3 linked regions of the Rhinolophus ferrumequinum genome follow. The protein of the gene in region 2 interacts with the protein of the main gene of each other region in a pairwise test. Links are inferred from orthologs where the notes say so. Each region holds a gene or a part of one and is shown on either strand. Other genes may lie near its edges.

Evidence for each region.
Region 1: the proteins of LNX2 (region 2) and LRRC8E interact in a two-hybrid assay, tested with the Homo sapiens proteins (3 studies listed by BioGRID and IntAct). The link is inferred for Rhinolophus ferrumequinum from reciprocal best matches to the Homo sapiens genes LNX2 and LRRC8E.
Region 3: the proteins of LNX2 (region 2) and MAPK9 interact in binary tests that used the Homo sapiens proteins (3 or more experiments, as listed by UniProt). The link is inferred for Rhinolophus ferrumequinum from reciprocal best matches to the Homo sapiens genes LNX2 and MAPK9.

What each region holds. Positions count from the first base shown.
Region 1 is NC_046301.1:56,866,897-56,870,641, forward strand, and holds the start of LRRC8E (volume-regulated anion channel subunit LRRC8E), read left to right. Parts: upstream 1-1,485; 5' UTR 1,486-1,575; intron 1,576-3,745. UniProt on the Homo sapiens protein: Non-essential component of the volume-regulated anion channel (VRAC, also named VSOAC channel), an anion channel required to maintain a constant cell volume in response to extracellular or intracellular osmotic changes.
Region 2 is NC_046287.1:99,650,058-99,653,802, reverse strand, and holds the start of LNX2 (ligand of Numb protein X 2), read left to right. Parts: upstream 1-891; 5' UTR 892-1,021; exon of another isoform or gene 1,022-1,087; intron 1,088-3,745.
Region 3 is NC_046307.1:3,356,116-3,359,860, forward strand, and holds the start of MAPK9 (mitogen-activated protein kinase 9), read right to left. Parts: upstream 2,459-3,745; 5' UTR 2,299-2,458; intron 1-2,298. UniProt on the Homo sapiens protein: Serine/threonine-protein kinase involved in various processes such as cell proliferation, differentiation, migration, transformation and programmed cell death.

The sequences.
Region 1 (3,745 bases), on a different chromosome or scaffold from region 2:
GGACAACTGGGGAGGTGTGCCTTCCACCACTGCCCAGAGCTCCTCAGAAGAAGGGAGCCCCGGTTGCCCACAGTAGCAACCTTCTCATTCATCCTTACTGATGTACCCTCATTAAGGCTTGCTGCTCCCCTCCCTTCCCAGTCTCATCTCCCCACTGCCCCACCATTAGTGCTAGCGGGGATCACCTTCCAGATGAACTATTTGCACCCAATTCTTTGTCTCAGGGTTTGCAACCAGAAAATCCACAATTAAGATAACACCTCGATCATCCACCCATCCATCATTAACTGAATGCCCACAACTGTGTGTCTGGCACCATTTCAAGTGCTGGGGACACAGCAGGGAACAGAAGGGACCCGTGTCTGGGGCTAATGAGGCTTCCAGCCCAGTGACCTCAGACTCTTGCATAAGGGTGCCAAGCTGGATGTTCATTCCAAAACCAAGCTGGAAACAAACCTCAGGGCATGGAAACCAAGGCGCTTCTCTGGAGGCAAGAAGAGGCCATTGAAGGAGAGGATAACCCAGGACTTTACAGAGGTTGAGTCCTAGAGGGTAGCACCCATTGCAGGGTTTCACAGAGGAACCTAAGTTTAGGGCGTTCCAACCTTCAAGGTATCAGGTCTCAGGAGGCTGCTGATCTGGTGAACTCTGGGGCCAAGTGGGGGAGGGGTCTCACGCTCCCACTCTAGTCTAAATCCTCTTTGTTTTGCAGACAAAGCAGATCAAGGTTCATTCACACAGACCTGTGGGCTGAATCGGTCCTTTGGCTAGTCTAAGACCGAGAGCAAGCCTCCCTGGGTAGGGAGGAAAGGGTGAGCACGAGGGAGAAGAGTGGGGTGGGGAGGCAGAATCATCCTTTCTAGAAGCCAGCCTCCCAGACTGGACTCTAGCCCCAGCACCCAGAGCCCCTCTGGCCTCTGCACCCCCCCACCCCCACCTAAGGACCTGGGAGCAGCTAACTCCCATCTTCCCCCAGTGGAAAGCCAGCCTCAAGGCTGGGCAGGGTCGGACAGGCGAGCACCTCCCATCCACGCCCTTCCCCTTACCTCCCCACCCTACCCCCCAGGTTGGCTTTCCTGGGTGGGTGGTCAGGGAAGCCCCCTCCCTCTCCCGTGGACCTTGGTTGCAGGTTCCTCAAAACCAGGTGGCTGCACCTTGGGGTGGGGGCAGGAGGAGGCCTTCCCCAGGTTCCCAGAAGGATGTTGCAGGCTGACTTTGGGTGCGCAGTGCCTCCGACCCCTTCAGTATGTACCAGTCCAGTTTCTGCCCCATGGCAGCCAAGCCCTGAGTTCAAGGCCCTGCTCCTGGGGCCGGGCCCTGGCCCACCTCGGGAAGACCAGGATTAGGGTCGCCCTCCTCCAGGGATCCCCGGGCGCCAGGAGTCGGGGGCCACCTGGGAGCGCCCTGAGGGAGGCAGGGCCGAGACGTCAGGTGGGCGGGGCGGGTGGGGCGGCTCCCGGCTCCTGTCCCGCCCGCCCTGACTCACCCAGGCTGGCCCGGGAACTAACTCCGCCGGAGCCCCGACCGCTCCGCTTACAGGGACCCAGGAGTTGGGCCCAGCGTCCGCCCCGAGCGGTGAGTAGGTGGCTCTCCGCCCCTGGGGACTGGATGGCGGCGTGAGGTTCGGGCCCACGAGAGGACCGCCCCAGGTGCTGGCTGGCACTGTGGCCTGAGCCCGCCGCCACCGTCAGGGGCGCAGGGGAGCTGGGGAGGGAGTGGGGGCAGAAAGAGGGTAGGCCCTGGCCAGGCCAAGGACGCTGTTCAGAGGCCCAGGTACGCCTGGCCAAGGACCGATTGAAGACGAACAGGCTGGGGGCGACCCCAGGGGTCTTGATCATGTTCCGGTCTCCTTGGCCGCTGAGAAAAGAGACAACTCATCTCTGTGACCCCTCAAGGCCTCAGAACCACCACTTGGGGGTCTCACCAGCTGCCCCCTCTGGGACTTTGAACCTCAAGATTCCACAGACCCCCAAATCCTGGCAGGGCAGCTTGGAAAAGTACTAGGCTGGGAGTCCCCAGGCATGGGGCCTCCGCCAAGATCTGCTATGAAGGGACCACCTTCCCCCACACAGGTCTCAGTTTCTCCCTTGTGTAAAAGTCGAAGTTTGGACAATGTGCTCTCCAAGGCCTGTTCCAGGGCTGACAACTGCCACGGTGTCTTCCTTGCCCCTTAACGTGGGCTGTGGGTGGGGACAGGGACTAGAGCAGGAACATCCACCTCCACCATGTGTTTGGAGGCAAGCTGGGGGCTTGCGGGAGGCCTGAGAGAGGAGAAGCAAGAGTCAGGCATGGATGGGCGGAGCTAGGGCTCTGTAGGGGGCACACACCTGGTCCTAGACTGGCAGAGATTCTGCCCCCGCCCCGGCCTGGCATGCAGAGCTGCCATCCCTTCAGCTCTCCTCTGCTGGAACCCTCACTGAGGTTCTTTTGGCAGAGATGCTGGTCTCAGTGAGAAATTTTCTCCCTAGCTGAAACAGAGTGGATGCAATCAGACAGATGGGATATAGGGGTCGCGCCTCAAATGCCATTTGTAGCTGTGAAACCTTGAGCAAGTTACTTCTCTCCCTTTGAGTCTGGAAAAAAGTGTCCCCACACTCACCGAGTTGGGATAAAATGAGGCATTGAAAGCGTCTGGTGGCTTTAAGTTGCATGTATATCTGCATTGTTGTTTTTCTTGGGGCCCTTCCCCATCTCGAAAGCCCTTTTCTCCGGATCCTCCCACTAGCTCTGCTCAGACAAAGGGGGGGCCAGCCTTGTGTCTGCGGAATCTTAATGGCAGGTTCTAATAATTGAGTTTGAGTCATGGAGACACATAATGATAGCCCCCCGTGTCTGCCTCTGATGGTGCTGTGTATGCACCTTGTTCCATGCGAGCCACTGGGCCATCTGTTGGGGACCTTGGGGCTCTCTGCCTTCTTGCCTTTGTGGACCTGGGATGGCAGGTGGCGGAGCTTGCACCATAATGAGATGGGTCCTGGAGGGTGACAGGGACTCAGGCAGTAAGTTAGCCCCCGACTCTGTGTGGCATTTCTGCTGTAGCCCCCAGAGCTACTGTTCTTAGGTTAAGTAGCCGAGCAGTGTCCCTTGCAGGGCAGGGGCAACAGTGGGTGACTGGGACTGGACAAGTGTGTGGTGGCTCCCTGGCCCTGGGTGCCCCCTCAGCTCAGCGTGTGTACTTGCATTCATGCCCACATGCACTAATGTGCACACTTCAGAATGACCCCAGGTGTCCCTTTTGGAGGCTGCAATGTACTGTCAGCCACTGGGGGCTGTTGAGATACCCTGGGTATGTTTCTATCTGATTCCCTGGTGACAGATCCACGGGGATGCACTGGGGCGTTTTCATTCAGTTTTTTGTTTAGGATGGTATAAAACTGAGCATGACAGATGGGACATTGCGTGAAGGATCTTGTGTTCTCTGTGCACCTCCTTATGTGTGCCTGGTGCTGGGTGAGTCAGGGCCTGAGTCAGGGGCCCTGAAGCTTGGGTGTGGGCAGGTGTGTGCCCGCCACTTGTGAGCCCATCTCCTTTCTGGTACAGAGGTGGGAGCCTATGATGGGATTAAGTGGGTGGCACCTGCGTCCTGTATCTCCATCCACTCCTACATAGTCCTCACCCAGGAGTCACACCAAGGCTTTCAAAGAACCAAGGGACTGAAAAGGGAGGTGTGGAGGTGTCAGAGTGATTGGCTGAGCTGTGGGACAGGGGTCAGTTTCTCCCCCGGAGATGGGTGGAGGGAGGGCTG
Region 2 (3,745 bases):
AACATAATAGGATGGGTTTAAGAAGGTATTTGTCTCATCGGGGAATCTTTGCACATCTCAGCTGGGTCAAACGACAAATGTTTGTCTATCTTTTGCCGGAGGAGTGAGAGTTTGGAAGGAAACTTTTCCCTCCCATCCTTTCCTAGGATCTTTTCTACCCCCAGAGTACGTCCTCCCTCGATTTGGACTTCCTTTTCCCTTTGCCCTTTTGGCTTCTTCCACCTACTCACCTGCGAAACTTCCCTCTCACCTTTGTTGTCTCTGCCCCCGCCTCCGCAACCTTTCCACCCAGACTCGCTCTCCGCCCCCTTCTTCCTTCGACCTCTCCTCTCTCCGTCCCCACGGGTATTCTTCGCTAATAACCTTTTCCTCCCTTTCTTGCTTCCCAGTTCCCCTCTCCCTGGTCAACCCCCGTCCCTACCACCCTACCCCAGCTGTCCTCTCGCCCAGCACACCTACATTTCTGCTTTCCTGCCACCTGTTCTCCCCCTATTCCCCTAGATGTTCACTGCCTCTCCCGGCTGTTCTACGCTCTTGGCGGCTGTCAGCGGAGAGCCCAGAGACACTTCTGGAGCCTGTCTTCGGCAGGGTTAGCTGGCGAGCCCAGCGGGGAGCCGGTGGGGGAGGGCAGGTGGCGCGGGGCGGAGTGGGCTCACTCTAACCCGGGAATGACGGTCCCGGCCAGGCCCGCCCCCTGAGCCCTCGGATAGGCGGAGCCGCTCTCTGACACGCCCTCTCCCCGCCCCGTGCCGCCGCCGATTGGTCCAGGTGCGTGTCGGGTTGGGCGGCTGGGCCCTGGCGCTCGCCCCCTGGAAGGCAGCAGGGGCGGTTGAGAAGTGAAGTCTTGGCCAGAGTTTGCTTCTTGCCAGGAAATCCGCGGCGGCGGCGGCGGCGGCGGCGATTCCCGGCGGAGCCGAGGCCGCCTTGCTCCGGGCTCCCTCAGCGGGCCGCGGAGAGCGGAGCTGACTCTGGGCTGCGGCGCCGGGAGCCGCTGCGCGCCTGGGGCAGCTTCTCTTTCCCAGTGAGTAACTTTGCCTGGCCCGCCTCGCTCCGCGCCTTCCCGCTGGGTCCCCGGCAGCCGCCTCAGGTGCGGGCGTCGGTGGGGTGTGGGGCAGCTTCGAGCCCGGGAGGCGGTGGGAGCGGCGCCGCAGCCTTCCTTTGCGACTCTCCTCCCCGCTTGTTGGGGCTGCGGGGGAAGCCGGGGTGTGGTGGGCTGGCCGCGCTTGTCCGGGGAGGAAGGGACCGGCTGCTCTGCGCCCAGTGCTCGCCGCCCGGCAGGCGCCTGGGAGAGGCGGGCGGCCCCCGACTGTTACCATTTGGTGGTTCTGGCGGCCGTGTTGCTGATCTTTGCATCGTTTGACTTTTTTTTTAAAGGAAGGGAGAGGTGGGGATGAGTTGTTTTTTATTTCCTGTGTGTATGTTGTCGTGAGACTGTGAGTAGCTGCCTTACATTGCATCTTGTTCGCCTAGAAAGGAATGGGGAGAGATCATACCCTCCATCCCAGCCAACTGTTGCCTGTAAATCTCACCTTTCCCTTTAGGCTAGAGAGGGTGGGAGAGAGATTTGACTTTTGGGGGGATGGGGATTTAAAATATGGAGCTTGATTTGGAAGCAGTTGCACACAAAGCACCATTCAGGAAATACATCACTCGCTTTGCGAAGCTTTATGTCATGTTTTAGGCGAAGGACTTTTGGCTGTATGTAGTGTTTTTCTCGCTATTTCAGTTTTACATCTAAGGCTATGAATCAAGACGTCTGTACCTTGCAGGAGCTACAGTACACTCACACACGGGCTTAACTGTATAGATGTTTCTGTATAGATATTTTTAAATCATAGGAACCAGAAACAAAGTTGAGTGAAAAGCAGTGACAGTGCAAGAGACAGTTGTGAGCTCCGGTTTATGGGAACTGTCTTCACTGTAAGAACTTTCCATTCTTGCCGCAGTAGTACCTACCAGGTGTGATCAAAATATATGGTGAATGTTTAAATTAAAAAAAAAATCAGTAAAAGACACATTGCCATCAATCCCCGTCTCTTTGAACACACTCATCCCATCGTTTTTCCACTTTCTGAAGCATTTCTGGAAGTCCTCTTTCGTAAGTGTCTTTAGTTGCGCTGTTGTGGCTGCCTCGTTGTCCTGAATTGATTCAAAACGTTTACCTTTCAGGGTCATTTTGACTTTGGGGAAGAGCCAGAAGTCGCACAGTGCCAGATCCGGGGAATAAGGTGGATGAGGACACACTGTTATGTGTTTATTTGATAGAAATTGCCGTGCCAGAAGCGAAGTGTGACAGAGCGTTGTCATGATGGACGATGAAATAAAGATACTCATGAAAGAGGACTTCCAGAAAGTGACAAGAATGATGGGATAAGTGTATTTGAAGTGAGGGGTAGTATTTTGAGGGGAATTAATGGCAATGTGTCTTTTACTGTAATAAATTTTCTTAATTTAAATATTCACCGTATCTTTTGATCATAGCTCATATTTGTAAATTAGCCTTCATCCAGGACAGGTTTTTTTTTTTTTTTTCTTACAGTGTATTGTGACACAGCATTGATGAAGTTGGATCTTAGTAGATCAATTTTATTTACTTTGATAGATTTGATTCCCATCTCCACACCTCTTTGGAAAATGGACTTTGTTTGATCTGATATCCTTTTTGGCTTGTCAAAGCTTTGTTGAGCCACGAATAACAAAGTTTTGCCTTTTTAGTTTGTCCAAGTTACACATGTGAGTTTTCCCCTAAGGGTAAAATGTAGGGCAAATCGGAACCAAGGTAGAATAACACTACTTTTAATTTGGCCCCCCTGTGTGTTAACATTCCTAATTCTGTATATTGTCTCTCCTCTTCTCATCAGGTTAGACATTTTTCATTTTTAATTCATTCAGCAATTGGTAGAGAGCTGACTGCATGCCAGGCGTTTCTGGCAGCAGTCAGCTCTTCCCCTGAGTTGTCACAGTCCCACTGGAAGCTGATCCATCCATACCTCTGTTCCACTGGCTACGGCTACTTGAAAGTAATTTGAACAAAGTGCAGTGGCAATTTAAGAGAGGGAGCATGTCTGCTTGGAGTGTGTTAGAAAAGGCCTCACACAGGCACTGACGCCTCAAATTGGTGTGGGATTTTGCCAGGTGCATTCTGGCAAAATGTGGGGGACTGGCATGGAGGGTGTTGCATTATGAGATTATAGTTACTCTGGCTGAAGTCCAGTGTCTGGGGTTGGAATCATAGTCGAGGGCTGCTGTGTTATTCATTTCAGGGCACTTACCTAGCTCTTTGCCTTGCTTACAGTAGATGCTCAAATGTTTATTGAACTGACTTCAACAGAAGCATGAAGGATTTTGTAATGCCAAATTAAGAAAATTGGACTTTATTCAGCCAGTGATACTGAGCTCATTCTAATCAGGAGAATGGCACGATAACAGTTGCGTTTTCCAAAAAGATATCTGCAGCAGTCTGGAGGATGGTGGGGGTCCAGGGGGGAGGTAGGGAGACAAGGTAGGAGCTGTTATGCTGTAAGGGTTAAGTGTTCAGGCTTCTCAGGTCACCTTATTTGAGTTTGAATCTGGTTCTGTCACTCACTATGTGACCTCTTTTTTCCTTAGGTTCTTTATTACATAGGGTTTGGGGAATAAAACTTAGAAAAACATGTTTTTGCTTAGAATAGTGTCTGGCACATAGTAAGGACCTGGTAGATGCGAGTTGTTATTCTGTGTGAAGGCAGTGGAAGTAGAAATGATG
Region 3 (3,745 bases), on a different chromosome or scaffold from region 2:
GGTTTTTTTTGGTATATATGTTTGAAGGTCCTCATAATAAATTGCTGAAAGAAAGGCTGGTGTTGAAATTAGTTCACACAATCACAAAAGGCCAAGTACAAATTGTAATCTACCAACAAATTATGTAAAGTCCTGGTATCCTGAAAATTAAATCCTCAGGAAAATCAAAGTTCTCCATAGAAGAGAACCTTTGATCCTTCAATAATCCTATGCCAAAATAGGATTATTGTTAACCAGGAAGGATCCTTATGAAGGAAAAAATAAAGAGTTAAATGAAGGAAAACACCTAGATTGGATGTTGTTCTTCCAGAACAACTTAAAAGCCAAAGAATACTCACAGCTGAGGGACCCAGGAAAGAATGATGATCTGGGGGAGACCTGGGTTCAAATTTCACCTCCCAGTAACCTGCAGTAAAGCAGACTACTGAGATTCTGTGAGTCCCCATTTCCTCTGTAGAAATGGGTTTCATAGCTGCCACTTACAGGGCTCCAGTGACAAGTAAATGAGAGTACCTGGACAAACTAGCTCCCTTGGCCTCAGGCTACCTTTCTAGCTCATTACAGCTCTTCCCGCCTCAGTAACTTGCCCTAGAAGTTGATAATCCTGCAACCAAGCTTAATGAAATGTTTTTTGCTTGGCTCACAGAATTAAAAAAAAAAAAAAAGGCTAAATTAGCTACTGCCAACAGTTAAAAAACTGGAGAGTAGAGTTACAAATTTAGAGTTCAGGCTTCTTTTTAAAAATTACTGGGTGAGGTCTGGTTCTCGAGTCCCGTTCCCCCCTGCTGCCCCCCAATGTCTTACAGGTGGCCCTACGGGCTGATTCTTGACCCCACACTCGCTAAGCTCCCTCCTTCTCCCTGCCCTTCTCCAGTTCTTTGCCTCTCCTTGCCTGGCAAATTTCTCATCACCCTTCAAGGCCCAACGCCAGCATCACCCGTCACATTCCCTACATTTCCGTGGCATAATCCCTCCACTACAGTGGGCATCACACCGTCCTGGCACTGTCTGCGTGTCTGCCTTCATGGCTGCATTCTCCGGCTCTCTAGAGGAAGGGACCTTGTCACTATTGCCTTTGTGTCCCCAAGGCCGAGCAGAAAGCCTGACCTAAATAATGTAGAATTCAGTAAATGCCTCCTGAATGTGTGGAAGGAAATTAGAGCTAAAACATTATAAAAATGTATGATTTTTCTATCATAGCGTGTTCTGAGTGTTACCAAATAAAGGGGTCAAGAACATTAAAATGTTTCACAAAATGAGAACAAGCTTCTATCTGCTTCCATGTTTCACAAGTTAGTCGGAAGTCATTAAGTGAACAGATAAAGCAGAGGTAACAGGCAGGCAGGGTCATTCATTCATCCACTGAACTGATACTACTGAGTATTTACTGTGTGCTTTCTAAGCACTGAGGATAAAGCAGTGGGTAAATCAGACAACTACCTGTTCGCACAGAGCTACTGAACAAAATGATAGATAAAATGACTAAGGGATGAAAGAGGGTGGTCAAGGAAGGCCTCCTGTTAAATGAGACATCTGACCAGAGGAAGAACCAGGAGCCAGATGTGCAGATCCTGGAGACAACTGCAAGCACTGGAAACACCAAGTGCAAAGGTCCTAAGGTAATGGGGCTGCATGTTTAGGGTAGGTGGCTGGGATAGGAAAGCAGTGTTCTGGTCGGGGTTGGAAGGGGAGGTGGGTGGGACCCACTCTGGTCTTGCTGGGTACCGAGTGAGCAATGACGAGGCACAGGAGGACGGAGATGGGGGACTCTGGGAGGACGGTGAGGGGTTCCTGCCACACTCACACCGGCAAGGGGCAGTGCCCCGCCCAGTTCTCCAGGTTTGTGCACTGAGCTCCAGCCCAGGCGCTTTCCCACACATTCATAGAGCCTGACAACAACCCTGTCCCAAAGGGCAGGCACTTCCCCACTTTCCCGAGGGGAAAACCGAGAACAGCGAGCGTCAGTGCCATGGCCAAGGTCGCAGGAACCAGACCCGGCTCCTGAGCATCCCGGCATGGGTGTGCAGCTGCGTGCCGCACATTCGGGAGAGGTGGCGCCCACAGACCCCACCGGGGGCCGCTAGGAGCCGTGCCAGCAAGAGCCCGCAGCCCCGGGCTGCTGACAGCCGGCGGGCGGGGAGACTGCGGTAGCCCGAGGGACAGGGGCAGCAGACGGGCCTCCAGCGGCCGCAGACCCCGGCCACACCGCCCACGCCCCCCGCAAACCCTCCCGCCGCCCTTCCCGGCGGGGCGCGGCCCGAGCAGCCCCCGCCAGGCCTAGCCCGCCGCCGGGCTCACCTCGCCTCCCGCCGCCGCGCCGGGGGAGGGAGCGAGCGGGCAGACTGCCGGCGCTGGCGGCTCTTGCCCCGGGCTCAGCCGGCCACCCCGCCCGCTCCACCCCGCCGCCGCCGCCGCCGCCGCCGCCGCAGTGGGTGTGAGGGGCGCCGGGGCGATTCGACCCTTCCGGTCCGGCTCCCTTCGCCACCGCCACCGCCACCGCCGCCGCCGCTGCCGCCGCCGCCGGAGCCCCACCTGAGCGACCCGCACGCTGACCAATCATCGCGCCGAGAAGCGGGCCGGCGCGGCCAATGGTACCGGGGGGCGGGCCGCTGCCGAGGGGCGGGTTGCTGCGGAGCGTCGGGTGGAGCCCGGCGGGCGGAGACCAGGGCTCGGTGCGGGTTCCCGTGGTTCGGGCGGTGCGCGGGGGGTCTAGAATTGCAGACACGATCCGGCGTTCCCACTGAGTGTGCTGTCCCCCACGGGGTTCGCAACGCGGTGGCTGGATGCGGAGCCGGGAGGCGGCGGACCGGCGGGACCGAGAGCCGGGCCTCGCGGCTGCAGGTGCAAACTAGCAGCGACGAGGCGGTCTGGAGGGGGACGGAACGGCCTGGAGGGGGAGAGCCAGGGGCCTCGGTGCTCAGGACCCGGGCGTGTGATGGCTCCCGGGAAGCGGAGGCGGGGCGGCGAGGGAGTGGGGAGGAGAGGTGGGTCCTTGGACTCGCTGTGAACCGGATTGTAGGGATGCGGCCAGAAGCGGGGGTTGGGGGGTGGGATGCCGAGGAGATGGCCATGTGCAGACGAGTGTCCCCTGCCGGTCATTGGCAGAGGGAAGGAGAGAACAGGCCGGTGCACTTGGTCAGAGGTCAAGCCTGTTTCAGAGGAGGGCAGGGTCGTAAATGGGGGGAAGTGAGTGCAGTGCTGAGGGCCCCCTAGGGCCTGGGGTCGGTTGACATTGATATTTTGAGGCACCTCCCGCAGCCTTGCAGCCCCTGGGTCGAGTTCCAGACGGCCTGGCATCCTCTGAAATGATGGGAGAGGCCAGGGTACTGGGTGTTGCCCGGTCGTTTAGATAAACAACGGTGGAAATGAGGCCAGGAGGCCGGACACATTGGGGGTGGGGGTGGGGCGCAGAGGTCCTTAGATGGGGTGAGAGGACTGTTGGAGAGTAGCTGTCACAGGATGTCTGGGCCTACAGGGTGGCCAGTGTGGTGGACAAAATGGGGAAAGAAGCAGCACCTTGCATATGGGGAGGTCAGGAGACAGGAGGGTATGGAAGGTGGTGACAGAATTTGGGGAGGGCGGCAAGCCTGTGACCCAGAGCAGGCTGGGGGCACCAGAGCCTCAGAGGAGGGGTGGGGTAGAGCAGGGGATCCAGCCATGCTATCTCTCTTAGGCCCCCCTCCTTGGCCACCAGAGGGAGTTTTCTGAAATTGCGTATGGCCTGATCGACTTCAAATTGGAGCTC